4 linked regions of the Arabidopsis thaliana genome follow. The protein of the gene in region 4 interacts with the protein of the main gene of each other region in a pairwise test. Each region holds a gene or a part of one and is shown on either strand. Other genes may lie near its edges. The genes, in order: ROP10, AT2G43420, TH7 and CRK2.

Region 1 (7,603 bases), on a different chromosome or scaffold from region 4:
AATCTCATGATTCAAACGGAACAAGTAACTGTGTTTAGGGATCGGGTAGATAAAAACCCAGAAACTAAAATCACCAATTTGGTAAAGAGAAGCCTATAAACATCTGAAAGTCCAAAAGAGATTTCGTGAAATGAGATCAGAAGAAAGAGGAAATGAAGAAGACACAAACCGAGAGGAACGAGAGGATTCCTGACACGCTTCTTCTCCTGGAACAGATCTTCCATGTCTGGTTCTACCGAACTCATCTTCTCCAGAACCAATGTCAAAAACCAAAGAGGAACAAGAAGAACAAAAAAAAAAGAGAAACCAAATTATGTATGTAGTCACGCGTGGCCTGTTCGTCACCAGAGACCGTGTGACGACGAGCCGGTTCTGTAAAACGAGTCGGGTCGATGGTTCTGTGAATCGGGTCAGATTCCAGTGTTGGAATTGGAAAAAATAACATTTGGATACAGTCCACTGGGTTCACTTCTAACGTTCACGTCAGAAACAGCATCAAATCCGTTTTGGGCCTTTTTGGTTAACGTATTTCTCGTTTAATTTTTGCTTTGTCTTACTGAAACTTTTTTTTGTTTTATACTGAAAATTTTCATTTATAGCTTTATGCTTTTTGCCAACCATTCTCTGGGGGTTTGTCTCTGCGAATTTATTAATGCATACATTTTTCGATTACCCCTGAATAAAATTTAAAATCTGGATGATGAGCATCAATTCTAACTGTTACAGGTTGGCTTGCAACAGCCTTGAGAAGGGCTGCCTCGTTGAATGGATCTACAAATGCGAATTGATCGATGGTTACCCTCACGCCTTGTGCCTTTGAAGGGTCGCATTCTCATTTGATAGCTGTGTAAGGATAAAAAAAATGAAGATTCTTGCCTTGATTCTGTTTTCACTTAGCAGCATCCTCCAAAATATATGTGGATTCGATTATAACGAAACAGAACTAGAGAGTGAGGAGAGTTTATTAAAGTTATATAACAGGTGGGCGAGCCACCATCACGTTTCTATGAAACTCAAGCCAAAAGAAAATAGATTCTAAGTCTTCCGAAATAACATGAAAAATGACCTAATAAAACTTAGAATCTATTTTCTTTTGTTTCGAACTTCATAGGAACGTGATGGTGGCTCGTCCACCTGTTGTATAGCTTTAATAAACTCTCCTCACTCTCTAGTTCTGTTTCGTTATAATCGAATCCACAAACATTTTGAAGGGTGCTAAGTGAAAACAAAATCAAGACAAGAATCTTCATTTTTTTTTGCTTTGATTGCTTTTAATGGAAGTTGAAAGTGTAAGAAAGTGGAGGCTTGGAGATCTAAATAGGCAAGAGAAGCGATATATATATAGCTTCTTGCTTTCGGTTGGTTAATTATTAAGTTCATCACAAATGCATTGAAATGTGTGTGATCAACTTACCATAAATTAAAGTAACATCATGCAAATAAGATGATTAGGAATGATCGCACATTCGCACCTGTTTTTTCATTGAAAGATATTACAATTTCGGTTATTAGCTTATTTTCATGTGATCTTCATAAAGAGTATTCCATTAAAATCTGCTATCTATCATTAATTAACAAATAACAAACTCGTCTTGTCTATTAACAAATCATCACGTAGATTACTATATATGCACTAGTTTATTATCTCAATTTGATGGATCATTTGCCTTGTCTCTGATGATACAGCCATACAAGGCCAAAGACATGGGCCTTTTGGGTCTATTGTTTTTTTTGGCAGCACGATAGTGTGTAACCAATTTTATCAAACCCACAAATCAGATATGAAAACCCAATTTAGCTTGGATACTTTTGTTTTGAAATAACAAAATTATACTTTACTAAGATTGATGAATAAGTTTGATAGCAGATGTTACAGAAAAAAAGAAGGAAAAGTTTGGTTGCTATTTTCCAAAACTTAAAAGTCCCCAATTCAGAGTTAATCCTAATTCCTATATATATATATATCTTTCTCTCTTCTATAACTACATATGTGTTTAACCAAGTTATGTTCATTTCTCCTAGCTAGAACCAGGTAAAATTTGTTTTATTGAAATAATCTATACAATTAATTGGTAATGAGTAATGCCAGAATCTTACAAAAAAAATGATGGCAAAATATAACAGTTTTTAATGCTAAACAAAATAAGAAGGATCAACCGATAAAGAAAAAGAAATAACGTACTATAATCAATGCTTCTTAAGCATGTGATTAGCTTTTAGTATCCTTTTAATCCTACTATATTATTTGGGAAATACATTTTAAATGTAACCTTAATTTTTGTAATTAATTACATGACAATACCATTAGAAAAATTTAATCAAAAACAAAATCTTTTAATGACATCATTAAGGTTACCAAAATCATTTAACGACAATATTCATTTCTTAATTATAGGGCTTGTTGAATCTAAAGACGGGTCATCAAAGATTTTCTAAACTAAAGCAAAATATACCGAATATTCAAATATCTTTCTGTTACCAAATTATAAACAAATAAGTTCGTAAAACAATTTAATATTTTATATACGAAATCAATAAATCTTAATCACATAAAAATTTGTACAAAAAAAAAGTATTCAACAATTAAAAATTTATCAAATCTCTGTGTTATATAAGTTTTGATATTATATTCGAATAAAGTGTAATATACCTTTTTAATTTGTATTCTTTAACTAATTTAAGCTAACTAATATATTTGCTAATCTTATACCTATTAAAACCGACTATCGTTTCTTATCTCTATAGTATTTTTGCAAGATTTTTTTGGTGGATTTGGATAAAAGTGCATTCGGGTCATATGGTACATTCCCCTATTAAATAAATATGGTGCACTCCTATGTTATTAGCTAAAATGTTTAGAATTCAGAGTCATATCATAAATAAAATTAATATGAATAAAATAAATGGCTTTTTGGCAAGACGGATTTAGAAGGACGGGTTTTTGAATCAACATTAATAAAAAAGTAAAATATAATTAATCCACCGTTTCAATACGGGTAAAATCTTTAATTTATTATTTTTTAAGACCACTAATATTAAACATATCAAATTATCCTAATTTAGAAAATATTATATAAAACCAAAAATGTTATGTGATATGTATAATGTTACTATATATAAAATTAAACTATAAAATATAAATGTATTAGAGAATGATACAATTTGCAAAACTTTTATATATAATAAATAATTCTTAAATTTTAAAAATTACGACTTAAAAAAAAACTCACGGGACGGGTAAAGAAATTACAGAACGAGTTTTATTTTGGAATTCGGTTATATGGTGGATGTATTTGAATCAATATTTATAAAATTATAAAATATTATTAATATGCTGTTTTAATAAGGGTTAAAACTTCAGTTTTTTAACAATTGTCTTATAGATTCGTGGCATAGCGTTACTTAATAACAATTATAAACCGTAAAATATAAATATTTTATAAAAATAAAATTTGCAAGTTTTAATATATATTACCTTTAAAAAATTAATCGTCTCGCGGTATACCACGGGTTAAAATCTAATACATTTGTAAAAGCGATAAATATGAAACGATTTAGAAAAGTCATGTGGATTAGATGGATATATCATGTGAGCCCCTCTTCTTTCCCTCTCTTCAGTCTTCAAACCAAAAAACGAAAGAGACAAAAATACAAAATTGAAACTTTGAAAATATTGAAAGAAAAGTGAAAAAAAAGAGAGTTTAGTTTTTTTAATCATATGGGGTTTATATAGTTTATTACCACACTTCCTCATGTTAATCACTTCATTTATCTCTCTATTATCTCTCTCACAATCTCTCTGGTTTTTGGGCGTTTCTTCGTTGAAAGTTGTTTGCTTTTGGTGAGTTAGAATGGCTTCGAGTGCTTCAAAATTCATCAAATGTGTGACTGTTGGAGATGGTGCCGTTGGAAAAACTTGTATGCTCATCTGCTACACTAGCAACAAATTCCCTACTGTAAGTTTAAAATTTGATCAAGTAAATCACAGTTTCGCTGATTTTTCATCAAATTGTTCTTTCGGGCATCTCCAATTTCGTCACTTTTAGTTGAATATACTTCTGGGTCTGTCAAATTTCAACTCTTTCACCGAGAATTTTAGCATGGTATTTCAAAGTTAGCTCCTTTTTTAGGGATTGTGCAAAAATAATCCTTTTTTGGAGATTCTGAAAAATCTTACATTGTAAAGTTAGTGGCTTTCTTGATTCACCAGTGTTTCCTCTTACTCTATTGCGCATTTGTTGTTCTCGTGAAGTTAAAGATTTGCTTGATGGATTGTATCAGGACTACATACCAACAGTTTTTGACAACTTTAGTGTTAATGTTGTGGTTGAAGGCATCACTGTGAACTTAGGCCTTTGGGACACTGCCGGTAAGTAACATTTCTGTATCCCTCTCTTGAATATCTCAGAATAACCAAGTTCACTAATGTTATGTGGTTCTAATCTTTCTAACATCTAGCAAGTTTGCTTTTGATTTGGGATTCTTAGATAGAGAACTTTATAGGGAGTGTTGAAGATTAGTGACTGTTAAGAGTTTTATGATTATGAGTACCCTTTCATGTTTGCAGGGCAAGAAGACTATAACAGACTAAGGCCTTTAAGTTACAGAGGAGCAGATGTTTTTGTGTTGGCTTTCTCATTGATCAGCCGAGCTAGCTATGAGAATGTGTTTAAAAAGGTTTGTGGAAATTGGATTCATTGTATTTCTTACTGGGAAAACAAAGAATGAAATGTGAATTTCTGATGTTTTTGAAGCGTTTATTTTGTTCAGTGGATCCCTGAACTCCAACACTTTGCACCAGGAGTCCCCATTGTGCTTGTTGGTACCAAAATGGGTAAGATAGCTATAAGAGTGGAGCCAACATATTTCCTTGTGTAATGCTTGAGAATCACATATATGTAATGTTTCTTACAATGTTCCGTTATCTAGATCTTCGTGAAGATAGACATTACTTGTCTGATCATCCTGGACTGTCCCCGGTAACTACATCACAGGTGTGCTTTTTCAACCTGTAGAAACCGAAAAGATTGTTGTGACATTCTCTAGACTCTCTCTTCTCTAGGTTTTATATGATTTAATCATTCATGTGTTACAGGGAGAGGAACTCCGCAAGCATATCGGAGCGACTTATTACATTGAATGTAGCTCAAAAACTCAACAGGTACACTTGTTCATGTGTGTTTGGAAACTTAGGAGTCATTAGTGTTAGGTGACTCTTTACTTGCAAACTATATGCTTTTCTTTGGTTCATGGCTTTTGCAGAATGTGAAAGCCGTATTTGATGCTGCTATTAAAGTAGTAATTAAACCAGCAGTGAAACAAAAGGAGAAGAAGAAGAAGCAGAAGCCTCGCAGCGGATGTCTCTCGTAAGTTCAATAATCTTCACTCTTTTTAATATATAACTAAGAAATTATGTAATACTAGAATTTGGTTATGCAACCTTTAGCTTCTTCATACAGTTTTGTTTGTTTGTGTAATGATTATAGATTGGCTTCTCTATTGTGCAGAAACATTCTGTGTGGGAAGAATTGATGAGTCAATTCCATCTGATGATTGTTCACTTCTTTTTTTTTCTTTTCTTTTCTAATTGGCCAGTTTGTGATTCTGATAAGTCGGAATTACATAGACTCTGGCAGAGATGAGCCTCAATTAGTAGCTTCTTCGATTCTGTTTGTATATGTGACCCTGATGTTTGTTTGTTTCGATTTGGTTTGACCCTTATAGAATTGTTATAGCCATTTTGTAGCCAAAACTTGGAGTAGTTCACGACTTAACGTGGTTAACACTTGCTTCTTTCGAAAAAAGGTGAATCCTTAATCACATATTCGAATTTATTTGGTCCTATTATGAGATCCAAGACCAAACGACAAAAGCGTGACAAGTAAGAAGAAGCCTGTAAATTTCAAACAGAACCAGCACAAGAAGTAATAAATCTACAAACTGGAAAAAGAAAGATAAAAAGAAGTAACTAATCTTGTGTCTATAATACAACCCCCATCACCTAACGCACACATGTAAAGCCACAATGCGAAAGACTTTTTTTTTTATCATTTTGAACACACTCAAAAGCCACCAACATTTGTTTTATCGCTAGTTTTTTGAGCCGGTGTATAGAGATACACACATGCATGAAAAATGACCTAAAAGTGTGTTTTCACCTTTTAAAACTCTTTGTGGGGAGGTGGTGATGCGGGTCTCTCGCTGAGAACCTTGTTGATGACTCTTCTGAAAGAGAATGGCCACTCCGGTGAATTTAGGACTGTTTTTGGAAGATCTACATGATGGTGAAACCAAGAGGTCAGGTTTGTGTTCTTAAAAAGGTTGAGACCACTGTGAAGTCGCAAATTGACTCACCCATGCCTCATTTGTACAGAGCAGGCCAGCCAATGAAGCCTTGTGGCATCACATTCACTCTCATCTCTTAGTAACTAGCAGAGTAAAAATGTAACTGAAACATTAGTAAGAGAGAGAAAAACAAAAAGAGAGGTCATAAAACACTAAGGTTTGTGGATTTCGAGGGCTTACAAGCTCATGTGGCCTACTGAGATTCTGAGCTACTGTTATTGCCATGAGGACTGCCTATATCCATCCCATCCTCCTTCCGGTTCTTTCCTCTTCAGAACACCACCTGACATTTGATACATTCTTGCTTGATCCTCCTTCAAAGGTAAGGAAGCAGATGAGGATAATTGCCTTGCCACAAGTGTTGATTCGTCTCTTCCCTCTGTTTCATGACCTCCAGGACCAGAATTTAAGTCAAGTCCTGACCTAAACCATTTCGCGCCATTGTCCAAAACACCGCCATTGCTACCACCGTTTGGGAGGCCAACTATATAAGGTCTTGGGTAATTAGACGGAACTGGAACTCCAGGACCCAATATTTGAGAGTTGACACCGGGGAAGCAAGCTCTCCCGCTTGAAGAAGAATCCATGTGTGCTGTAGAAGCACCAGGGAAATTCGCTGAGGTAACGGGGAAGCTGTTTCCAAAAGGAAAGACAGGATACTGGAACGTTGTGGACTGAAATGGCATGGCTGGAGACGACGACAAAACAGGACCCCTGTACCCTTCAGGGGTAAATGAGGAAACACCAGTTGTTGGACCCAACATTCTCTGTGGGCCACGAGTGGCAATCATTGGAAAAGGCTGATCACCTCTCTCAGGCATAATTGGAGGCATGCTCACAGCTGAATAAGCGTTAGCAGCAGGAAACCAAGTTGAGAAACTAGCCATGTTTTCGCCATTCACTCGAATTCCAGAGAGAGATGGTTGTGATGGCAAGCCACTTCGTGAATGTTGATTTAGAACCATAGATGGCTCAACAGCTGCATCATCACCCACAGGTCCATCATTTAAATCAAAATCTCTACGACCACCAGTCGATGGTAATTTAACCTGCTGAAAAGATGAATCTAGCCGATGACTACTGTTCATTGTGTAGCTGATCATATCAGTTGAATCATCAACTTTGTTTAGATCAAGATCAAGGCCTCCAGAAGAATGATCAAGGGCGGAACCCATGACCCCAGAACGTACTTGGTCAAAACTATTGGTGATATCAGATGTACAATTTGTGGGATTTCCAGATCTTTGGGAAGCCAAAT
Region 2 (9,119 bases), on a different chromosome or scaffold from region 4:
GAAAGCCCAGATTGTACGTAGGGATGGGAATTGAGGAACAAACATGGTTCTTCGAATAAAGCGTTTCTGATTGGTAGAGTTAGCCGCCTTAACAACCACGTAATTTGTCTTCCTGAAGCATCGAGCCAAAACAAGCCCAAAACTCCCTCACACTGATATGGATATGTGCCAGCGATACTAGGAGTTAGGACGATACGGTTGCCAGAATTTTCTGTTTCGCAGATGCAGTTATTGATATCTACGTACCGCCATAGACAAATTTCTCCACGCGGTTTGATTTTTGCAGGAAACTGAACTTTTAAACTCCAAAATTTCTTATCTGTTTGGCCGATGATAGAGTTTGCTCGCTTCCAAATTTTCACCATTGCGAATTTCGAGTGGAGTACGCAATACATTCATACTCAAGCTTGTGAGATTTAACATCTGAAGCGAACCTGAAATCAGACTGCTAAACGCGGATACAAGTTTGCAGATAAACGACAATCGGATTAAACCTTCTTCGCATAAACGAGAGTAAACATGTGTTTGATGTATTCTTTTGCAGAGCTCATTCGCTAAGAGTTATATATGCTTTAACATCAAATTTTGCAGAGCTTCTCTGTGGTTTGGCTTTGCGCGAGTTCGATATAACCAAAGTAATTTGAGAAAAGACGTTTCGATCGGATCAGGTTTCGCCTTAAGCTAACGACGTATAATAGAAAAAAACTAGGTTTCGACTTTGATTTGTACGATGAGGAAAAAAAAAACAGATTCAACAAGAAATTTTTGGACTAAACAAGCATCATCAAAGTTTTGTGAACCTGGACTATGAATTCGCAAAAAGAGTATAATCGTTGACAAAAGACAATCAAAGTTAGAGAACAAACGAAGATATAGATAAGAACAAACCGGTCGTGCGTATTCGATCTTAATTTGACTTCCATTCAAATTTGCTCCTTGAAGAGCCTCTTTGGCTGCGACTGCTTCCTCCACATGTCTGTAGTATATAAACGCAAAGCCTCGTGAAGAATACACCGTGATTCTATCAATATCGCCGTATCTTCCAAACAACTCGGTCAGATCTGACTCTGTCGTCTCCGGCGTTAGGCTACCGACCCAAAGATTGTTTGACTGGAAACCGGAATCATCGGCTCTGAATGGCTTCATAGATAACGCCATCGGGATTGTTTCAATTGACGATCCTATGGATCCAAAATTCCAATCCCAGAATTGATTGTTTTACCTTTGGGATTATGAGATTTCGATTATCCACGTGACGGAAAACGAGAGACGAATTGTGCGATGATACGTTGAGCAAGAAAAATTCGATGAGAGATTTGGGTGTTCAAAATCCTACCTACAGAGAGGAGAAGAGAACCCTAGATTGAGTTTGAAGACGAAGAAGATTAGATTGTGAGAGAAAGAGAGGCCAGGGAATATCGAAGCGGCGGCTTTTAAAGGATATATAAGGATACTTTCCTTTTTTTTCTTTTTTTTTTGGAAACCGGATCAAAACGGTGCATTTTGATAGTAGTTATGGCAAATTCGTAAATAATCATATATCCATCCCCTCTCAGTGAAGATTACATCCTGATAGCATAATGTTTGTACATAAGACATCTAATAACTGCAATTAGTCTCTGGGATTGTTGGTGTTCGTTTAGTGGAGGACTTTGGAAGCTTCACATGAACATTGGTTTAGATGAAGCATCAGAAACAGGTATCACCATCCTTTTAATAAATGTTAAGCATTCGACGAATATCCGGGCTAGGTGGTAGAGCTCAAGCTCGTATTGCTCGTAGATGAAGAAACCGGTGAATGAGAACGACATAACTGTCCAAGCAAAGCGTAGAGAAAATGTTATGGATAAAGAAGTTGTTAATCATGTTTATGAAGTTGTTAATCATGTTTATGAAGTGTGAAAACAAAAGCTTTGTTCGAGTACCTGTGAAAAGAAATGCTGCCAATGAACGGGATACAATCAGTTTGAGGAGATACAGTGATCCTGCAATCTGTTTTTATGTTTTGTTTTAGGAAACGAGAGCAATGAGATATTTTTCATGTTTGGTGAGCATAAAGAGTAGAATTGTACCTTGAAGAACTTGATCCAGTCTCCTCCACTGCTTAAGGATTTAAAACTGCGAACTCCTTGATTCCAGACAACTACGATATCACTACTAAGATCTCTCACAGCGGATTCGGAGATCTCAAATCTCCATGGGGGTATTTTGTTGACTTGAAACCCGAAACTGTCAAAATAAATCAATCTGTCACTTAGTTGCATATAGATTTCAAAGGTGAAATATATATACATGGGTGCATCATCCTTTGATAGGACAATTTTGGTATCACAACTTATTTTCACTGCCTTCTATAATGGTAAAGTTCTGGAACCAATACTTACATCTTTGACGGCACAAAAGAGACTCCATAGAGAGCAACAGCAAATATAAACAGAAGTTGGGCTGCAGATGAAGTAAATGTGTTTCCAGAAAAGAAGAACCAGTAATAAAACAAGTTTAGGACAAGAAAAGAAACGAAGGTTTTCTTCTCATTTCTCCACAGCAAGATGTCTGCAACTGCATGAGAACATAGAGATGAAAAGCTAAGTCAGTTTAAAGAGATTAATATTAAAAGCTTGCATTGACCAGATTCGCTTTGAGTTTGTTTATATGTGCATGAAATAAAGTTGGAACTCGCATGAAATTACATGGACTGGAAGAAGATGTAAATTAACCAAGCAGATACTTCAGCATGTTCTAGACATCTAGAAGCAAACAAATCTAAGTTGAAAATAGAGATAGATTCTTTCCAGGTTAAGCCTTGTGAACATGCATCATCATATCCATAGCTAGATGAGATGCGGACTTCAAGCAATACAACTGAATACTTAGCCAAGAACACTTCAAAAAGGCATTATAATTGTTAATAGCGAGATGGTTCTAACCTTTCCCACAACCAAGAAGCTGATCTGCAGTAGATTGAATGATTGTGTCATCAGACTTCTCAAGATCCCGAGAGAACCATTGAAGCGTTGATGCAATACCATCCTACAAATCCAACAAGAGCTAATAAATCCAAGGAAGGTACTAAGCAGCTGAATATGCAAAAAGCCAAAATACTATCCAACAAACTCACTTCAAGTGTCACAACAGGTGTGTAACCAAGATGCTTCTTAGCTGCATTGCAGTTAAAAGTTCTCGTTGATGAAGCTAACAGAGCATACTGATGTGCTGTGTCATAATTACTCCCAAGGCCCTCCTTTTCATGTGTCCACTTAAGAAGTGAGAAAACATACAAAACCAGCCGAACAGGAAGTTTAATGGATGGTCTGCAATTAAAGAGGAAAAAAAAATATCAAAACAGGTAAACCAGAAAGTTAGCTCTAAGGATCTAAAACTTTTCAAAATGATCAATATTTAAGACATAGGAGAAGGAAACATATACGACCATGTATAAAATACTAAATATCAGCGAATCACCATGTATAGATAGTTTATATCTAAAAAAACTAATTGAATATGGCTGTTCTCGAAACGGTTCTTCTAGACATGTCTCCAGGACATCTATCAACAGAAAATTAAGATCTTTTGCTTTAAGAAGGGAACATTCAAGGTAGGTTCAGAAGTTCTGAGGAGCCTTTTTCCCATGCTACATTGATAATCAGGAAACAGAAAGATAAAAGGAGTTCACAGCAAGTTTCATTGTATCAAAAACTGTTCGGATGCTTATTTACCTTGGGTATCCCAGACCTTCAACTATATGGCTTACAAAGTCCCAAAATCTGACCGGCTTGAGGTTTGTGATAAAAAATTCCTACATAAAGTCGGCACAGTAAAAATTCATCACATATAAAGTTCATGCGCTTTCAGGAGTGATTTGGCAAATACACTTTGACTCAAAGAGGTTACCTTTCCAGCCACAAACTCCATCTGTGAATCTAATGCTTTAACGGCGCAAATATGTGCATGAGAAACGTTCTCCGAGTAAGTGAAATCAGAGATATTTTCACCACTCCCGAGTATAAACTGAAATTTTAAAAACTAAGACAGTCATTCCTCCAAAAAAGGAAAACTAAGAATGCATCAAGCTCAAGGAATACTACCAGGTATAATAAGATAATAAACGTAGACGCAAAAACGCAACAATGGGATGAACTAATAGTAAGACCTTTGCATATCCGGACTTGGCTAGATTCACCAAAAAAGGTACAAACTCTGTGTCACCAGGTCCAAATACAATGCTAGAGCGAAGTGCACAAGTTAAGAGACCATCTCGGTTGTTAGCCAATTTGATCAACGCTTCTGCTTGAGCTTTGAAGTCTGTCAACATAGATTGGAACTGCAAGAGAATCAGAGCAAAACAGATATCATCTCTGAAAAAGACCAACGACAAAAACCAACTAAACAAACATGCTCAAGGATTACCTTCAAAGGACGTCTCAAGGATTCATCACCATCACGTATAGGTTGGGAACCATCAAAAACAACATCAGCTGTACTGTTGTAGATAAGTTTTCTGACTCCAGATTCACGACAGGCAGAAATCACATTTCTTGTACCTATACGAGAAATCGATTAACCACCCAAGTTTAACTAATATAATGGTAAACCATCTTGAAGTGACTAAGAACTTTACCTTGAACTATAACCTTGTAGCAGTCAAAGTAATCATGGGAACGTAAATCAGTAGCTCCCATGTAAAATACAACATAGGAACCCTCGGTAACTGCAAGGAACAAAACAGTCACACCAAAACTCAAATCAGAACCCGAAAATCTCAAATAGCCAAACACTCCCCCATAGCATTTTCTAGATACCAAAAACCGATCCATCAATGTCATATCTAACAAAGTGCAACAGGAAATAAGAGGAAAACCTTTAACGATCTGAGGTTTATCACGAACATCGACGCAGTGATAAGAAGCGCGGCCGGAGGAGAGAGCATCCTCGAGGAGCGAATCGGATTCATCAAGATGGAGAGTGTGACCGGAATCTGCGACTCGGACTGTCCAGTTTCCGAGACGAAGCAATCTGGAGACAAGCGATCGACCAATGAACCCTCGTCCGCCGAGGACGACACATGTCTTGAGGTGAGAATCGCCATGGACGGAATCTTCGTCCATTGTTATCGCCGAATTAAACCCCAGCTCTATCGCCTTTTCTCGGTCGAGTCAACTCAGAGAAAAAGGCCGAGTCGAGTTGGATCAGTGCACAAAAAGCTGAATACTAGGGGTTGCTTGGCGGGCAGACTCTCCACTCGCGCAACCTTTTAGCGTTTTCCTTTATTCTTCGGCTGTGTAATTATAATTTAATATTCACACTTTTTTGCCATAAATCTATGGATTTGACTTAATTTATGTAAATTATCTGTATAATTATTCCTTGGTTACAAACAAATCTAGTAAAGCTAATATTAAATCGTAGACGCACGGTTGCGTTTTCACGTTTGGTGAGCCAATTCCATCAATCCACCAAACATATGATTTCCATTGTTAGAAATTTGGTAAGCACTTGTAGAGAGAAACTAAACCGTATCTATCTATACACTTGTGTATGTATGTTGAAGCATTCATTACACTTGAAAATCTCATAATTTAATAATTGAGTTTAAACTAAATATTTAGATTTTTTTGTGTTGAATACACAACTTCAAATGATAACTGAAGAAAGCCCAAAACATATAAAATATTGATCTTTGCAGCTGATGATTGACTTGCAAATTTTTCTATACAAATAAGAAAATATACCCAAGTTTTCAGAAACGATCTCTGGCTCTCTGTATACGACGCAATGCTTCAGCTTCGGTTGCTGAGTCTGGAATGCTTAAAGATTTTCGGATATCTTTGCTCGATATTCTGAGGAATGGGTTACACGCTTTCTCAACCTTGACAGTCGTTGGAATCTACAGACAACAAATCCGTAAGTAAATGAAATCTAGAGAGAGGTTTAGAGAGAAAGAGGAGATAGGGAAGAGATAAGAGGTTTTACCGATGGGAGCCCCTGGCTGCGAAGATGGGCGACTCGAGTTGCATAGGACTGAAGAGTTTCATTCTTTGGTTCTACGGATAGAGCAAACTTGAGATTGCCCTGTATCATGGAGGAGATATAAAAGAGAGTTGAACAATGTGAATTAAGAGTATTTATGTGCGTGGAACTTACTGCTGTGTTTTCACGGCCGCAGTATATATTTGTATCGTCTGGTAGAGACACGATCTTTTGGAGTGATGAAAGCATCTGAGTCATAAGGCAAAAAAGGTTTTCTCGTTAAAAAGGACAGAGCACAATAAGTTTGCTTCTGTGAAAGAAACTACAATGTACGGTTATTAGAGTACTCCCAAGTCCCAAGTGATCTCTCCATAAAGTCTATACCATTTGACTCAGCACAGTTTGCCACAAGAAAGTAACCATAACAGTAAAAAGATATGAAGGTTGAAAAAGAAACATGATTTAGAAAACCACAAATCACTTGGCACAATTTTTGCCACAAGAAAATAATCATAACAGTGCAAGGGTCGAGAAGGTTGAAATATTGCTTTTTGAAATTGATGTTACCTGCTCAGGGGTACCTTCTGAAAGGGTACCACAGGATAAGCTATATATCAGGTCTCCTGTGAATATTGTCGCTGACCCGGGAAAGTAGAAGCTAATATGGCCTGCTTGAGAATAAGTACAGTTAAGTGATAAAACATGGCACCAAGTATACATTAATTACTAGTTGTACTACACTAGAACGATAAAAAAGGAGAGCAGTTACACAGTAATGTATTGAGGATAACAAATTAGAATGACAAATAAGATACTAATATGTGATCCACCAAAGGTTTCTAACGTTGGCAATATTTGACTGTATAGATGTGTTCTTAGTATTTTACAGTAGAGGTTATGGCAGCTACAAACCTTGTGTATGGCCAGGAGTGTCAAGTATCCGAACCTCATGGCCAGCAAACATCCACTTATCACTATCCTTCAGAAGTATGTCAATTCCAGGAATCCGATCTTTATCTACAGCTGATCCAATCACCTGTCGGCAACATAAGTCACATAAAAACACTTGAGTATATATAAAAGAAGCAAAAACGAAAAGAACAACTCGACAAAGGTGCAAAACAAAAAGGTCCAAAAAACCATTTTTTCTGGTAAGACTAATACTTTACGACATCTCAAAACCAAACCATTGTATTGTAGAGCTCAATGTTTCACAGCTATCAGAGGCAAGAGACACTCCAAGGAAACAAAATAAAAAGAGGGCTAACTTGCGCAAAGAGCAGAAACAACACAAGAAACAAGGTCATACAGTTTTAAACAGAAAATAGTATCCTCTTACCTTTGCGCCATACCTTTCTTTCAATTCAGCATTCCCCCCAATGTGATCATCATGATGATGAGTATTCAAAATGTAAGTTAAATTCCAATTCTTCCTGCTCAATGCTTCTATAACAGGTGCAGCCTCAGAAGGATCAACGACTCCAACTGTTCCGGTGTCTTCATCGTGCAACAGATAAGCATAGTTGTCCTTACTGCAGGGCACCTGAAACATCTCAGTAAAATAGATCGTTAATAATATCTTCAGCAGATTGTTACAGAGTTGTTTCAACCAGTAGATTCAAGATGAAAAGCATACTAACCAGTTCGATTTTTAATGAGGATGGCATGTTGGAAATGCTACAAAAGTGAGTAATCTTAAGAGTTTTTCTAGCTCCACGCAATGTTTTCAGTGGCATGGATAATAACCACATTACTCCGTATAATAAGCTTTTCCTGAGGCAAAGTTGTCTCAAACCAGGCCACACACAAAGCTGACCTCCAATCTGTTTCATGAAATTCAATCAACAAATCATAATCTGACACAAAATAGTACTATAAGATAGCCAAACAAAGACTACTAAACACAGTTGACAAAAAAAAAAAACCCATAGAAGCTTATAATAGATAATTCAACCGCCAGTTTCACCAAACCAGTCAATAGCAGATAGTAATTGAGCCTTATGATCGAATCAGTAACACTAGCACACATTCAAAGGAATCCACAGAAACAATTTTCCAGCACACAAACGAAGATCGGTATAGTGAAAATCTGAATAAACTCAAAAAAGGCTAAATCTGGTACCAACCACAAAACCAGATCGGAATTATCAAAAGCAAAGACTGAATCAAAGAGAAGAGTAAAAAAGAGGAAGAGAGATTAAACCCTAGAACACGAAGGAATCGATGAATTGGTGGTGGTAGATGAAGCTTTGGAGATCACAGGCATCCTCTATATATCTCTTCTCTCTGATTCTTCAGATAGAAACGAGAGGATATGATTGTGGTACCTTTGAAGAGGCCTCCTTTGAGAGATATTGCGCGTAGATAGAAGAAACTCAGAATTACTCGCCTGAGCTGTGATGACGAGTCTGCGACTTCGACAGGAAACAACGTCAGAGCTAAAGAGACAGCTTTTACTCTTTTTTTTTCTTTAGTATTTTGTTTTATTTTATTTGTTTTTGCTTTTTATTTATTTAGCTCAACTACTAAATCCCATCAATAAATTGTTCCGTGCTATCTCATATAATTCATACAAATATTTGACCACGGTTTATTATTTTCTTTATTTGAATTGGGTAATAAAGTTGTTACCATATGCTCTGTTATTATTTATTAAAGTTGTTTTTGCTGTAACGGTAATTTGTTACTTTTTTACTTGTTTTGCTCAAATTATATTCCCTTTTGAAGCCATGAAACAAACATTTCCTTTAGGATAAACGCAAAAAAATAGAAAAGATTTCCTTTGGTCAATATTTGCTCATTTGGTTAAGGTCAATTTAGATTAAACGCTTGCCTTGATCATTTGGGTTTTTATAGAATATATAAAATTTATCTTATCAAGTAAGAAAAAAAAAAGCATTAATTATATCAGTTATCATAAATTGAAACTTTTAACATTAGTTGATAATATCTAGATTCTGGGATGTGTATATTTAGTTTGTTGAGATTCTTTTATAATCATTATCTTTTTTCTTTATCTCAATTGAAAGTTGAAGAAAATATATAGAGTTCAATACCAAAATAGTTCGGTAAGAATTGTGCATATCTCTATCTTATTGACAACGAACCATTTGTATTTATTGTATAGAACCTCACTTTCAAATATATGATTG
Region 3 (6,297 bases), 4.6 Mb from region 4:
GTACTCAACGTGAATCCAAGCGCAACGGAAGACGATCTAAAGAAATCGTATCGAAGACTTGCAATGAAATGGCACCCTGACAAAAACCCTACTTCAATCAAGCAAGAAGCTGAAGCTAAGTTCAAACAAATCTCCGAAGCTTACGATGTTTTAAGCGATCCTAACAAACGTCAGATCTATGATCAATATGGTGAAGACGGACTTACGGCGACAGAAGCAACGGCGTCGTCTCAACAACATAATTACTCTTCTGGTAACAACAATAATTACAATGCAGGGTTTAGGTATTATCCACGTGATGCTGAAGATATTTTCGCTGAGTTTTTCGGTGCATCTGAGAAAGTCTTTGATGGTGGCGTCGGCGGTGGCGGGAGGTTTAAAAGTGCGGAGGCGGGAAGTCAGACGAATAGGAAAACTCCGGTGAACAGGAAAGCTCCGGCGATTGAGAGTAAATTGGCTTGTACTCTTGAGGAGTTGTATAAAGGTGGGAGGAGGAAGATGAAGATTTCCCGCGTTGTTCCTGATGGTCTTGGGTTAGTATTTCATAACACATGATCTAAATGAAATCGCCTTTTTTCATTCAGTTTCGTTCGTTATATTAGTAGTTCGTGATTACGTAAATTATATTTGGAAAAGTGTTGACCAATTATTTTGTGGTTTCTTGTATGAGTCAATGGATAATCCTCTGTATATATGCTCTGTTTTTGTGATTTATCTTGATGGTAAAATTTTGTAATCAAGACGAAACAATTATCCAAATTGTTGTGTTTTTGACATTTTTCTTTGATAAGTTTTCTTTATTTTTCTCTGTTTAATGTTGTTGTTATTATTGGTTTTTTTTTTTGTTTTTTTGACAATTTTCCTTTGTTTAATTGCGTTTTTATCTCTAGTGATGTTGATATTGTTTGATGATTGATGTACCTAATTATTTTCTTGTTGCTACGTTTGATTTTTCTAAGCCTAGTTGCTTTTTTGGTTGTGATCAATATATATTCATGTTTTGATATCAGAAAGTCAAAGCCAGTGGAAGAGATCTTGAAGATAGATATAACACCAGGATGGAAGAAAGGAACTAAGATAACTTTTCCAGAGAAAGGAAACCAAGAACCCGGTGTTACTCCCGCAGATCTCATCTTTGTTATAGATGAGAAACCGCATTCGGTTTACAAAAGAGACGGTAACGATCTTATTGTAGACAAGAAAGTTTCGCTTTTGGAGGCTTTAACAGGGATCACTCTTAGCTTAACAACACTAGACGGGAGGAATCTGACTATCCCGGTTTTGGATATCGTTAAACCGGGTCAGGAGATAGTGATTCCTAGTGAAGGAATGCCCATCTCTAAAGAAGGTTCAAAGAGAGGAGATCTAAGAATCAACTTTGAGATATGTTTCCCCTCGAGGCTAACATCGGAACAGAAGACAGATCTCAAGAGAGTTCTTGGTGGTAGCTGAATTGGCAACTAGTTTCAAGAAAGCTCTTGAATTCAAAAGGTCAATTCAGTGTACATACATATACAGAATTGATCGGTTTTCGTTTTTGATCTCATATCTTGATCACGAAATAGTAAGCAGAATTGATTGTTTTTTGTTGTAAAAGCTATCTTTGTTGTTATCTAATTTATTCTGCTTTCATAAGTTATATATGTAACTCTCAACTTCATACAAGCTCTTCGAAAATGTTATGTAACGTTTGTTTTTTTCCATTTAGTATTTTAACATATACTTGGAATGGGACTCTTTTTTTTTTTTTTTTATGGTATAGTTCTTTTAGTCGCCATACTCACATTACCATTGTTATGTTGTTTTGCTTACGTTGGGGTGATTAGATTTCATACAAATATAACTACAACATTTTTGTTAATTGTTTTCATTTTTGACATTATTATTTATATTGTTTTGAGAAATTAAACAACAAACCAGAAACCCAACTTCAAACAATCAATTCAGAACAGACATTCAAAAGTATAATAATCATTTTTTTGTAAGGGAAAAGAAAAAACTTAAACCCTATGTTGTTCAATCTTCTTCACGAGCTCATCAGGTTTGGCTCCAACAACCCTATCAATCTCTTCTCCTCTCTTCACAAAAACAAAAGCTGGAAGTGTAATAGCTCTATATGTCCCAGCCACATCCTGGAATACATACCAATTATAGCTTAGTCTTGAAACCATAAGATGATTCTTCTTCAAGTAATAAAAAAAAAGAGTAATTACCATTAGCCTATCCACATCAACCCTAGCAAACACAGCTTCTGAGTACTTTGAAGCAATCTCCCTAACTCTAGGTTCCATTGCTTTACAAGGTCCACACCATACAGCTGTGAAATCAATTACTAGCTTCAAAACCACAATAATTTTTTCAGTTAGTTTAAGAGAAAAAACATGTCATTTACTTGTAAACAAAATTAGAAAACACAAATAGTATAAGATTTAAAACAAACATTATAAGTTTGGTTAAAAAAATTTAATACGTTTTAGGTAGTTTTCGAGTAATGTATACCAATTTGTTTGAGCCTTTCATGGAATCAAAGAGAGATTTCCATTGTCTTCTTGATTCGATTTCCACAACAAATCCATTACTGGTAATTTCCATTGATGAATGAACATCATGCACAGATGAAACATTGGAACCCATTATCTTCGGAATGTGTATGTATGAAGAAATGGTGTTCACTTATTTGCTAGTGATATACTGATATGCAAAGAAGAGAGACAAGGAGGAGCATTATATAGCTTTTAATCGGAGAACTTAATTTGTTGGTTATAAATAAATAAGTAAATGCAAAGGAATATGATTCAATTTGCTATCCTTCTTTAGTTCTAGCCGTTGATTTTTTTATTTTTTCAAGAATATATAGCTTATACCAATTTAGTTTCGCTTTGTGTTTTTAAAATTCCAGTTAGTTGTTAAATATTCTCCACTACATAAAAATATAGCTGGTTGCAAGGAACTAGCTTGCCTATCACATTTGCAAACGAATTTTTTATTTTTGTGGGTGGATAACAATCCGCGGCGGATCGATTTTCTAATTAAAAAATGGTAGCCTAGGTACTTGATTTATTAGTTTAGATTAATTAGTTATTGTCAACGCTATAAATTAAAAGTAGTTAAAATTTGTTTTGTTTAAATAATATATGCACCATCCACTTCAAGGATCTAATACCTATATAATATTAATGCTATTAATTACTATAAAAATAAAAATGTCACATGGCAGGAGAGTTTCTAATGAGAACTCATTTTTATTTTTTTCCTAATTGATGGTGATACTCTTATGTCTTTACTGAAATCTTTAATTTACATTTACATAAAACTTTACAGAACGAAATTAGATTAGAATAAAACGAGAAAAAAATTTGCAAAATGACCATGCATGTCATTGTAAATTTGTAATGTTGTTTGGTGTGTCCGTGTGTAAGAATATTGATTTGTGTTAAAAAGAAGCTGTCATCAAATTCTTCCTCAAGGTCCTTCTTATTCCATTTCAGTACTTATAGGAATCATTGTCGAAAATGAGTTTGAAATTAACAATTTATTCGATACTGGGGGACAAGAAATGCACGTCGTAGCCACGAACATCATCTTTAACTTTTTGCCCATAAACTTTCACATCATCCTCTTATAATTCTCATTCTCAAGGAACTAGGAATGCTGATTCAAAAATACAGTTCGGTGATGCTCGAATATCTTAAATTTTAGAACATATTGTTGGGGTTTAAGATCTCGATTTGCAAATATTAATTTGAAACCATTTTTTGGTCTGATTTCTAATAAAATTGAAACACCACTGTTTTATAAGAACTAAAAAAAACTTGTAGAAATGTTGCATCAAAGTATGCTTTATAAAACATTAAATATATATATGTTGGGATCAAAATATGCATATATATATATTATATATATATATATATGAAGGCGTTATCAAAGAAATACAACAAGTTTTTTAGAAAACTGAAAACATTAAGGAATACTTCTTAAATTTGTAAGTACCCTTCCTAAGACTTTCTTTCCCTTACTTTTACTGTATTTGGAATTTTGGAATTGTGTAGTTTAAGACTTAAAAGAATTCTCAAATATTTATTGTACTGGTAATTCATAAAGTAAACTAATCACGTTTAGATATTTAAACATGTGTAGAAAATCGTTTTTAATTTAGATTTTGCCTTTGAATTTATTCATTTTTTAATCATAATTTATCGATAATATTACACATGACTTTCTTAAAGGTTGCATGAGTTCTGCTACCCACATATTTCTTTATTCCTAGCTCGATCTATAAAGATTCTAATATAAGTTTTTCCACAATCTAAAGAATTTTATTCCATGAAATCGTATCCATACAATTTTATATTGTTGATTTTCTCTCTTTTTAATTTATGTAGGAAGAGTAACACAATTAGTTCAATACCTCTGTATTTACTTTTCTGCTACTAAGCAATATATTACAGTTACTTATAAAATAGTTCTGTATAATAGTTCAATAAAGTTAGTTATATTTTTGCAAACAGAAAGTGTGAAAAAGATACAAGAGCAGAAGAAACGATTCTTAAATACAAGTGCAAGTGCTTTTTCCTTGAAATATACGGTGATTTGAATCACAAACCTTCTTAGCTAAATGACCATCTTATGATAAAAACAAGATGTGGCCGCCACGAGAAGTCTAAGCAAGGAAGTAGGTGCATATGATGAACTAGGTACGCCGACGAACATAGAAAAAAATGAGGTACAGATTAAAATCCATTTGTGGAGTATACACAAAATGTTTGTTTGAAAAACAAATTATGAAGAGTTTCAAGATTGTTTTCAAGGAACTATCAATAATTTATGTTTGACTCTATATGTAGACTGATATGCAAAAGATCAAGTGTGGATGAATGAAATTGGATTGGATGACATTATTTTGAGGCCAGGGGATAAAGATTATAGAAGTAGCAATATTAAATGTGGTAGATTTAAAACAACGACAATAGCATGAACTAAGTTTTGCTGCTGGTCACTGTCATTTATCGCTGGCCAAAATTAGACGCATCCTAATAATTAGCCCACCTTATGTTGAAAACCTAATTAGGCTAAATACACTAGAGCATACTTCGCTAACACATCGAAAAACACTGAAAACAAACAGGACGTAGGATCAAGTTGCTAACTCACGTATCTCATCATAGTAACAAAAGAATTAATAACTGCACAGCGAGAGATAAATTTAACCCTAATCTAAAATAATGAAGAAGAACATTGTGGATTTTAAGGTACAACATATTTCGTCTGTTCAATCTTTCACACCACTTAGCTCTCTCGTATTTGGATTATATTGTCCAAGTTTGGCCCTAGCCCATACTTTACTAAAGCCCCATTAAATAACTTCAACAATGTTCAACCCAATCTCACAATCACAAATGCCACTTTTTGGTTACATTCTCCTTTTCTATGTTTTTCCAAAGGTTAAATTCCTTTCTTATGGCTTATGTTGGCTTATGACGTATCCAACATTTCACTATCAAGTTTGGGTTTAAACAAAACAACTGGTGTGGTGTAGATTGAACATTCGCTTTCTCATGGATTCTAAAACGTATAAAAAGAATAAAACCTTAGGTCCACAACTACAACTTATGAGGTAGAAAAAAACAAAACTTATGAGGTAAAATATATATATAACTTCAGAAAATATGAGGTATATATCGATTTATTGCGCACGTAATTTATATATACTATATTTACCCATGCATAAGTATTCACGTATCTCTATAGTCACTGTATACGTGTATGCTTACGTAAGAATACGTACATGACATATTCATGGAATTTTTCGATGCATACGTATATTTATTTTTGATAACTTTGGATGTTTCGTATTAATTTGGTATCGCTTAACATTCTCTTTTTTATTAAACAATTAGTTTTTCAGTCTATTGACTTGATGCCTTGATGGCAATTCAAAAATTTGATAAATCTTTTGACTGCTAGCTCAATTAATTTCTCTTTTTTTTTTTGTTAATATTTTTTTTATAAATCAAGTGGTATTCCAAGCATGAAAAAGGTTTCATGAAGGGTCCAATCACAATAAAATAGTTCATATCATCTTGGTACGAAATTAGGGGGTAGAATATGTATTACATTATATCTAAAATTCTGTTTATTTTTCTAATAATTAGGAGGTTTTGGCATACGTCCATGCATTTCCTCAGACTCAGAACCAAAACATGTTATATGGTCTCGTCCTAAAAACTACTCGAATGAGTAACTTCAAGATTTTGCCATAAATTGTTACCAGTTGAACTATTGAATCTTGATAATTTA
Region 4 (8,381 bases):
TAACTTTATGGTTTGATTGATTCTTGCATTTGGTTATAATCGATTGTTGTATCTTTGTTTTAGGTACGATGACTACAATTTCTATAACGAGACGTTAAGCTTGCAAGACCGGACAGTTTGTGCTCCAAAGGAGATTACCGGAGTAAACCGGACGGTATTTCGGGATAACGCTGCAGAGTTGGTTAAGAACATGAGTGTGGAGGCGGTGAGAAATGGTGGATTCTATGCTGGTTTTGTGGATAGACATAACGTGACGGTTCATGGTCTGGCTCAGTGTTGGGAGACTCTTAATAGAAGTGGTTGTGTTGAGTGTTTGAGTAAAGCTTCAGTGAGGATTGGTTCTTGTTTGGTTAATGAAGAAGGTCGAGTTCTTAGTGCTGGTTGCTATATGAGGTTTTCTACTCAAAAGTTTTATAACAATTCTGGAAATTCTACATCAGATGGTAATGGTGGTAAGTAGAATAAGCTTGAAATATGATTTAAATTTAGTATATGTTTGTAACATTTATTTAGCAACATTCTTGTTGATCAGGTCATAACCATTTGGGTGTGATTTTGGCGGTGACATCTTCGGTTGTGGCTTTTGTTCTGTTGGTCTCTGCCGCTGGTTTCTTGCTTAAAAAGAGACACGCCAAGAAGCAAAGAGGTTTGTTCCATAAAGAATTAGTTAAGATTTATGTTCCAGAAATAGCTTAGTTTTCAAGATTAGTCATAGAGTTTGAGTGGTTATAATAGTGAAGTCTTGATCTTAACAGATATTTGTGTGTGTGTGTGTGTAATGTAATGTAGAGAAGAAGCAACTAGGGTCATTATTCATGCTTGCGAACAAATCTAATCTCTGTTTCTCCTATGAGAATCTCGAGAGGGCTACCGATTACTTCAGCGACAAAAATAAGTTAGGACAAGGAGGATCTGGCTCTGTCTATAAGGTAAGTTCTGTTCTTATTATACATTTTCTAGAGTTTCATGTTGGAATGTTCCTACTTCTCAATTGGTTAACTCTTTGCCCTTTTTGTGGAGTAGGGAGTTCTTACTAATGGTAAGACTGTTGCAGTAAAGAGACTGTTCTTCAACACAAAGCAATGGGTGGATCATTTCTTCAACGAAGTTAATCTAATAAGCCAAGTAGACCACAAGAACCTTGTTAAGCTCTTGGGATGCAGCATAACTGGACCAGAGAGCCTTCTGGTCTATGAATACATTGCAAATCAAAGCCTCCACGACTATCTTTTCGGTTTGTTTTTGTCAATCCTAAACCTTTTACTACAGTTACCATGTCTTGATGGATCTTTTATTGACTTGTTCTTGTTGCTTTGTTTTGGTTCAGTAAGAAAAGATGTTCAACCGTTGAATTGGGCAAAGAGATTCAAGATTATACTTGGTACAGCAGAAGGAATGGCGTATCTTCACGAGGAGTCAAATCTTAGAATCATACATAGAGATATTAAGCTGAGTAATATCCTTTTGGAAGATGATTTTACTCCAAGAATTGCTGATTTTGGATTGGCTAGATTGTTCCCAGAGGACAAGACTCATATCAGCACTGCCATCGCCGGTACACTGTAAAGTCTCAAAACTTATCTTTGTAACTTTAATATCTCTCTCTACCGTTTCTTGTGTTGTTTCTGAAGATTCTTACTTGTGGAAACAGAGGCTACATGGCACCAGAATATGTAGTACGAGGAAAACTAACTGAGAAAGCAGACGTTTATAGTTTTGGAGTTCTTATGATTGAAGTTATAACCGGAAAACGTAACAATGCCTTCGTACAAGACGCTGGTTCGATCCTACAATCGGTAAACTAACTCTCTACAAGTAGTTCAAACATTTTCTTGATTTTAGATCAAATCCTTTTTCTTGAATCTTGAAAACATATTTTAGGTATGGAGTCTGTACAGAACAAGCAATGTGGAAGAGGCAGTGGATCCAATCTTAGGTGATAACTTCAACAAGATAGAAGCGTCACGGCTACTTCAAATTGGGCTTCTCTGTGTTCAAGCAGCGTTTGATCAGCGGCCTGCGATGTCTGTGGTTGTGAAAATGATGAAAGGGAGTTTGGAGATTCATACGCCGACGCAACCACCGTTTCTGAATCCAGGAAGTGTAGTAGAGATGAGAAAGATGATGATGACTCCCACGACGAATCAGTCTAATTCTTCAGGATCAAGGAGTGACTACATAACCGAGGGTTCGAGTTTCTTTGAACCTAGATGAGGTTTTAGATCGTGTTAGATATATCAGTATCCTTTCGTGTGGATTCTGAATCATCTTGTGTCATATGTACAAAAATTGAGATGCCAATTAATCGTGTGTTAGCTAGGAACTGAGGGTTACTTATGTGCCACGACAATGTCATAGAAGCTAGGAAGTGAACAATGTAGAGCTTACATGACGGGGACAGATTCCGGTTTAGCCTCGGTTTTGATTGTAGTGATTCGGTTTACGGTTCAGTAGTTTTATTTTGTGTGTTAATTTTGAGTAGCTTTGTATATTAGTAAGCGGTTTTTGTGTTTGTTCTCGTTTTAACTTTACAAAAAGAGAAAGAGTAAATGTCATATTTAAATAGAAAAATGCAACCACAAATGCAAAGAAATTCGAGTAAAACCAAATAATGCCATAAGGATATTTACCTAAGAATCAAAATATGAAACATATTAAATGTACACAAGAAAAAAATCAAATCACTAAAAATTCACTAAATTTATTACCGCAAAGTTTGGATCATGATCTCCTAATTTTTGCACAAGTGGATTCGAATCAAGGACTTTTTATCAGTGTTTTTGTTTTCTTTCAAGGAAGCCATAGGAGACTACTAGATAGAAACACATATACTACATATGTCTTTATTATAGCCAACTAGATTTAACATTTTTAGAATTGAATGTCCAACTACTTCTCATTTTTCTTTGCAATTGATCTTGAATAAAACTTTGACCATGGCAACATGTAAATGGTATTTTGTTATATATATTTTTATTATTTGTACAACTTTTATTGTACTATACCAACTAGGCCTACTAAATCAACCCAACAAATTGACAAAAAAAAAATCAACCCAACAAACCTATTTCTTTATTTAAAGTAGTCTAACGTCACTTTATCCATTTTCTTGAATGTCATCTTACTAAACACTACGCATATGTGACGTTTTCTTTTTTCTTTAACTAATCAGAAAATTGAATTTTTCATGATACCGGTAAAGAGATTTATCCAATTAAACCGAACCGGCTCCACATAAGATAAGCTCTATTAATTATTAGTCCACTGGTTTTTAGGTTTATGAAAACGACAAATATTTGAATGAAGACAACGACTTCAACAACATGATCGAGCTGGTTTGGTTTCCAAGTGTGAATTCAAGACTAAGAAGAAATCCAACAATCTCCATTATCAATTTTTTTTATTAACTTTTTGACTAAACCAGTAGAGAGAGAGAGAGAAAGACAGCAAATTTGGTTGACTCTAACAAACCAATATCATCAAAGTCAAGCAGTTGAAAATTCTTCAATTTCATCATCTCCAATTCTTAATCTCTCTGCTTCTTCTTTCTTCACAACTTGAAACAGAACACAAAACCCTTGATGAGGGAATAAAAAAAGGAGATCTCTTTCTCAATCAAACAAAACAAAATGAAGAAAGAACCTGTCCATATCCTTCCTCTGTACCTTCCATGTCTCTTGATGTTTCTTCTTTCATCACTCCGTCAAATCACCGGAGACGCAAGGGCTAGAGCCGTTAAAGTCACTTGCTCACCTTTGCTTGAGCACAACGAAACCGCTTATGTCCCAAATTTCGTAGCCACAATGGAGAAAATCAGCACACAAGTACAAACTTCCGGTTTTGGAGTTGCTCTCACCGGTACAGGACCAGACGCTAACTATGGTCTTGCGCAGTGCTATGGTGATCTTCCTTTAAACGATTGTGTACTCTGTTACGCGGAAGCAAGGACGATGCTTCCGCAGTGTTATCCTCAGAACGGAGGTAGAATCTTTCTTGATGGATGTTTTATGAGAGCTGAGAATTATAGTTTCTATAATGAATACAAAGGACCTGAAGATAGCATCGTATGTGGAAACACGACGAGAAAGAATAAGACTTTTGGTGATGCGGTGAGACAAGGGCTGAGAAATGCTGTTACTGAGGCTTCTGGGACTGGAGGGTACGCTCGTGCGTCTGCAAAGGCGGGTGAATCTGAATCTGAATCAGCGTTTGTGTTGGCGAATTGTTGGAGAACTTTGAGTCCTGATTCTTGTAAACAGTGTTTGGAGAATGCCTCTGCTTCTGTGGTTAAAGGATGTTTGCCATGGTCAGAAGGACGTGCGCTTCACACTGGATGTTTCCTTCGGTACTCTGATCAAGATTTCTTGAATAAGATACCAAGAAACGGAAGATCAAGAGGTAACACAATAAAAAGATTCATGCTTTCTATAGAATCTCATTCGCTTGATGGTCATAAGTAATTGTTTTTGCAGGCTCTGTGGTAGTGATTGTGGTGTCAGTACTTAGCTCTGTGGTTGTCTTCATGATTGGAGTAGCAGTAAGTGTTTATATCTGCAAACGTCGGACCATAAAGAGGAAGAGAAGAGGTAAGATTAGTTTCTTGATTTGTGATGAATTGGTTTAAGAAGGATTGAGTGTTTTTAACCGAGATCTTTGGTGCTTAACAGGATCAAAAGATGTTGAGAAAATGGCGAAAACACTAAAAGACAGTAGCTTGAATTTCAAATACTCAACACTAGAGAAAGCCACAGGTTCTTTTGACAACGCGAACAAGCTTGGACAAGGCGGATTTGGAACTGTCTATAAGGTATGTGTGTGTATGATCATGTCTCTCTTTCTATACCTTCCTGTAAAGCAAATGAGTGATATAGTGGTATCTCTCTGGCTTGTTTAGGGGGTTCTTCCAGACGGAAGAGATATCGCTGTGAAGCGGTTATTCTTTAACAACAGACATAGAGCAACCGATTTCTACAATGAAGTCAACATGATCAGCACTGTTGAACATAAGAACCTTGTTAGGCTGCTTGGTTGCAGCTGCTCAGGACCAGAGAGTCTCCTTGTCTATGAATACCTTCAGAACAAGAGCCTTGATCGATTCATCTTTGGTAACTACTACTAATAATACTATATGATGAGTTTTTATTGTTGAATCTTGAATGCAGCAGCACACTAAACCTGTCTTCATTATTACTTTTGCAGACGTGAACAGAGGGAAAACATTAGACTGGCAGAGAAGATACACGATCATCGTTGGAACCGCTGAAGGATTGGTGTATCTGCATGAGCAGTCGTCTGTGAAAATTATTCACAGAGACATAAAAGCAAGTAATATTCTGCTAGATTCAAAGCTTCAAGCTAAAATCGCCGATTTTGGTCTGGCGAGATCATTCCAGGACGATAAGAGCCATATTAGCACTGCCATTGCAGGGACCTTGTAAGTATATATTCAGAAAAATGTACCATTTCTTCAAAAAGATATGAATGTTTGAGCTGATCCAATACTTGTGAAACTGCAGAGGTTATATGGCTCCGGAGTACTTAGCACATGGTCAGCTAACAGAGATGGTAGACGTTTACAGCTTTGGAGTTCTTGTACTAGAGATTGTAACTGGAAAACAGAACACCAAAAGCAAAATGTCAGATTACTCAGACAGTTTGATCACAGAGGTAAGTTAGACATATTTTGTCTATGGGTCTGCAGGTTTCACTTCTCAAACTAATTGTGGTGTTATGTTTTTTATTGAAGGCATGGAAGCATTTTCAGTCAGGAGAGTTGGAGAAAATATATGATCCAAACCTCGATTGGAAGAGTCAGTATGACAGTCACATCATCAAGAAAGAGATAGCAAGAGTTGTTCAAATAGGGCTATTGTGCACTCAAGAGATCCCTTCGCTAAGACCACCGATGTCTAAGTTATTACATATGCTAAAGAACAAAGAGGAGGTCTTGCCATTGCCGAGTAATCCTCCGTTTATGGATGAAAGAGTCATGGAACTTCGAGATGGTTCTGATGGTGATTCAGCTGGTTGTGCATCTCTTGCCACTGTCTCACAAAGTTCCTTTTATGGTAGATGAGCTTTGAAGAAGTGTATAAGAAGAAGAGAATACAAAATCTTTGATCTTTGAGCAGAAACTAAAATTTTGTGTATAAACCAGTGAGAGAAGCTAGATAGTATAGGTAAGTTATATCTTATGTATCATACTTGATAACAAAAAAAAAGTACTCAATAATTCAAGCTCTAGGTGCGATTTCTTCAACCAACCCATAGCTTCAAACATTTATCTTTAATAGTTTGCAAGCTTATAAACGGACTTGCGAGTTTGCAAGAGAGAAGACAACAGAAACAAAGAATGAAATGTCTGAGAATTTCCCAACATATGCCATCTTCAAAAAAATGTTATCCTCATCCACACCAGACTTGCAAACATATAAGATTGGTGGTTCAATGCAGCAGTTTAAGGTAGGTACTCGAGCTCAAGCTTTGTTGTTGTTTGTGCTCCTGCTTTCTTGTTGTGATCTCAGAACCAGGCTGCTTCTATCTGGACACATAGATCAGAACTTAGAAACTATGTGCTCCTGCTTTCTTGTACGGGATCTCAGAACCAGGCGGGCTTCTCTCTGGACAAATAGAGCAGCATTGGTAGGTTGATGTCAACGTGTGTTGTATTTGTCAAGTCCTCAGAAACTGGCTTCTGCTCCACAAACCAAGACTACCTGTAGCAACCACCACAACATATGTTAGGAACAGACAAATTTTTGTATACAAAGAAACCATTTAGAATAAAAGTAGCAATGGAGTTGAAATTATTCAACTTCTTAAATTGATCATCATTCATGTTCTCTCTTACCTTTTGATATATAATATTTTGTGAGCGAAAAAGATGATTCTTTGTAAACGTTATATCGAAAAAAAGTTTCAACCAAAACGTAACTTCCTTTTTGGTTAGATTGATATAATTATTCGTAACTGGAAATCGAATCTAATTTAGATTTCCTCTACAATATCAAATCCCCAACGGTTAGATTAACAATAAACCAAAAAAAAACCATCCTTATAAATACACACACTTAGATCACGCATTCTCTTCTTCTTCATTCATGAGAAATCAAAATACGCTCTATTCTCACGTCCTTCTTCTTCGAGAAACCAAAATCATTCATCGTTCCCATCTTTTCATACCTGTTCGCTTGATGATGATCCATGTAATCCTCGAGTTCATCATCTCAGAATCGTAATTGATTCTCTCACGTCCTCTCTTTCTTGACCTAATTGAGAAGGAAGAGATCGGGGGCAGTGAAAGCGAGGAGCACCTAAGAAGACGATTCCAGGACCTAATCTAGAAGGAAGAGATCGGGAATCCAAGTACGATCAACTTTTGATCAAAGACAGAGGAAATTATACAATAGACAGAGGAAGATTCCGGCGAAACTCCAAATTTCTCCGGTTTAACACACCAAACGGGGGAAGATGAATTGCGATGATAGGAGACGACAAGTATAGAGAAGAGTCAAAAACGAATGAAGAAGACGGAGAATTTCGGAGGAGTTGCAACAAAGACGCAGCAGCAACTAAGGGCTTTTCAGACGAGTTCACGGTGGTCTTCGAATGGGCTTTTTTCATTGGGCTTTCTTTGCTACAAAATCCAACAAGGTATTATTTTTCTTCAATTATTATTTTTTTTTCTTTTCTCTAAAAAATATTTTTTAGTAAAATTATAATTAAATAATAATAGTTTTCACTAAAAATTTAGAAACAATTTAAAACTTAAACTTTAAGATAAATAATTCTTAACTTTTAACTAAAACCATGTATTTCACTATTATTTTTTTAAAATTAGTTTAAGTGTTAAATTTTAAAAACGTCGGGAACTAACCGCGCCTAGGCATCCCGTCCTTAATTGGTCTGTAAGTCTTGAAGTGTTCGAAGTTCGGTAATGTTTTCACGTAATATAGATTTGACACTTCAACTCATTTTTAAAAAATAATAATGATTTTCACTAAAAATTTAAAACCAATTCAAAACTTAAACCTTAAGATAAATAATTAATAATTTTTAGTTAAAACCATGTTAATTTTACTAATACTTTTTAAAAATTAGTTTAAGTGGTAGATGAGGCTTGAATAAGTGTATAAGAAAAACAAAATACAAATCGTTGAGCACAAACTAAAATCTTGTTATAAACCACTGAGAGAAGCTAGATAGTATAGGTAAGTTATCTTATGTATCATACTTGGTAACAAAAAAGAAGTACTCAATAATTCCAGCCCTAGGTGCAATTTCTTCAACCCACCCAAGCTTCAAACATTTATCTTTACCACCCCCAGTAACTTCCCACATCCTTACTGTACGATCTTGAGAACTGCCAAGACAGATATTTG

Evidence for each region.
Region 1: the proteins of CRK2 (region 4) and ROP10 interact in a protein complementation assay, tested with the Arabidopsis thaliana proteins (one large-scale study listed by BioGRID).
Region 2: the proteins of CRK2 (region 4) and AT2G43420 interact in a protein complementation assay, tested with the Arabidopsis thaliana proteins (one large-scale study listed by BioGRID).
Region 3: the proteins of CRK2 (region 4) and TH7 interact in a protein complementation assay, tested with the Arabidopsis thaliana proteins (one large-scale study listed by BioGRID).

The regions. Positions count from the first base shown.
Region 1 is NC_003074.8:17,727,710-17,735,312, forward strand, and holds ROP10 (RHO-related protein from plants 10), read left to right. Parts: upstream 1-3,627; 5' UTR 3,628-3,851; coding exon 3,852-3,956; intron 3,957-4,281; coding exon 4,282-4,369; intron 4,370-4,567; coding exon 4,568-4,677; intron 4,678-4,770; coding exon 4,771-4,834; intron 4,835-4,929; coding exon 4,930-4,994; intron 4,995-5,095; coding exon 5,096-5,161; coding exon of another isoform or gene 5,162-5,203; exon of another isoform or gene 5,204-5,262; coding exon 5,263-5,366; intron 5,367-5,507; coding exon 5,508-5,532; 3' UTR 5,533-5,804; downstream 5,805-7,603. Other genes in the region: AT3G48030 (hypoxia-responsive family protein / zinc finger (C3HC4-type RING finger) family protein), read right to left, coding at 170-245; protein SUO, read right to left, coding at 6,561-7,603. UniProt on the Arabidopsis thaliana protein: Acts as a negative regulator of abscisic acid (ABA) responses.
Region 2 is NC_003071.7:18,029,832-18,038,950, forward strand, and holds AT2G43420 (3-beta hydroxysteroid dehydrogenase/isomerase family protein), read right to left. Parts: upstream 5,352-9,119; 5' UTR 5,106-5,351; coding exon 4,859-5,105; intron 4,709-4,858; coding exon 4,619-4,708; intron 4,542-4,618; coding exon 4,408-4,541; intron 4,322-4,407; coding exon 4,151-4,321; intron 4,009-4,150; coding exon 3,892-4,008; intron 3,797-3,891; coding exon 3,717-3,796; intron 3,312-3,716; coding exon 3,119-3,311; intron 3,031-3,118; coding exon 2,928-3,030; intron 2,560-2,927; coding exon 2,385-2,559; intron 2,230-2,384; coding exon 2,073-2,229; intron 1,993-2,072; coding exon 1,926-1,992; intron 1,814-1,925; coding exon 1,662-1,813; 3' UTR 1,437-1,661; downstream 1-1,436. Other genes in the region: FPA (RNA binding protein), read right to left, coding at 889-1,158; GLX2-1 (glyoxalase 2-1), read right to left, coding at 5,738-5,884, 5,971-6,069, 6,142-6,216, 6,535-6,635, 6,880-7,003, 7,307-7,510, 7,608-7,790, 8,171-8,233.
Region 3 is NC_003070.9:21,950,759-21,957,055, forward strand, and holds TH7 (thioredoxin H-type 7), read right to left. Parts: upstream 2,723-6,297; 5' UTR 2,635-2,722; coding exon 2,500-2,634; intron 2,337-2,499; coding exon 2,214-2,336; intron 2,133-2,213; coding exon 2,001-2,132; 3' UTR 1,839-2,000; downstream 1-1,838. Other genes in the region: AT1G59725 (DNAJ heat shock family protein), read left to right, coding at 1-533, 1,011-1,452. UniProt on the Arabidopsis thaliana protein: Probable thiol-disulfide oxidoreductase that may be involved in the redox regulation of a number of cytosolic enzymes.
Region 4 is NC_003070.9:26,582,583-26,590,963, reverse strand, and holds CRK2 (cysteine-rich RLK (RECEPTOR-like protein kinase) 2), read left to right. Parts: upstream 1-3,335; 5' UTR 3,336-3,629; coding exon 3,630-4,398; intron 4,399-4,472; coding exon 4,473-4,586; intron 4,587-4,667; coding exon 4,668-4,807; intron 4,808-4,894; coding exon 4,895-5,105; intron 5,106-5,199; coding exon 5,200-5,434; intron 5,435-5,516; coding exon 5,517-5,667; intron 5,668-5,746; coding exon 5,747-6,076; 3' UTR 6,077-6,235; downstream 6,236-8,381. Other genes in the region: CRK3 (cysteine-rich RLK (RECEPTOR-like protein kinase) 3), read left to right, coding at 64-452, 533-646, 790-929, 1,024-1,234, 1,328-1,562, 1,652-1,796, 1,882-2,214.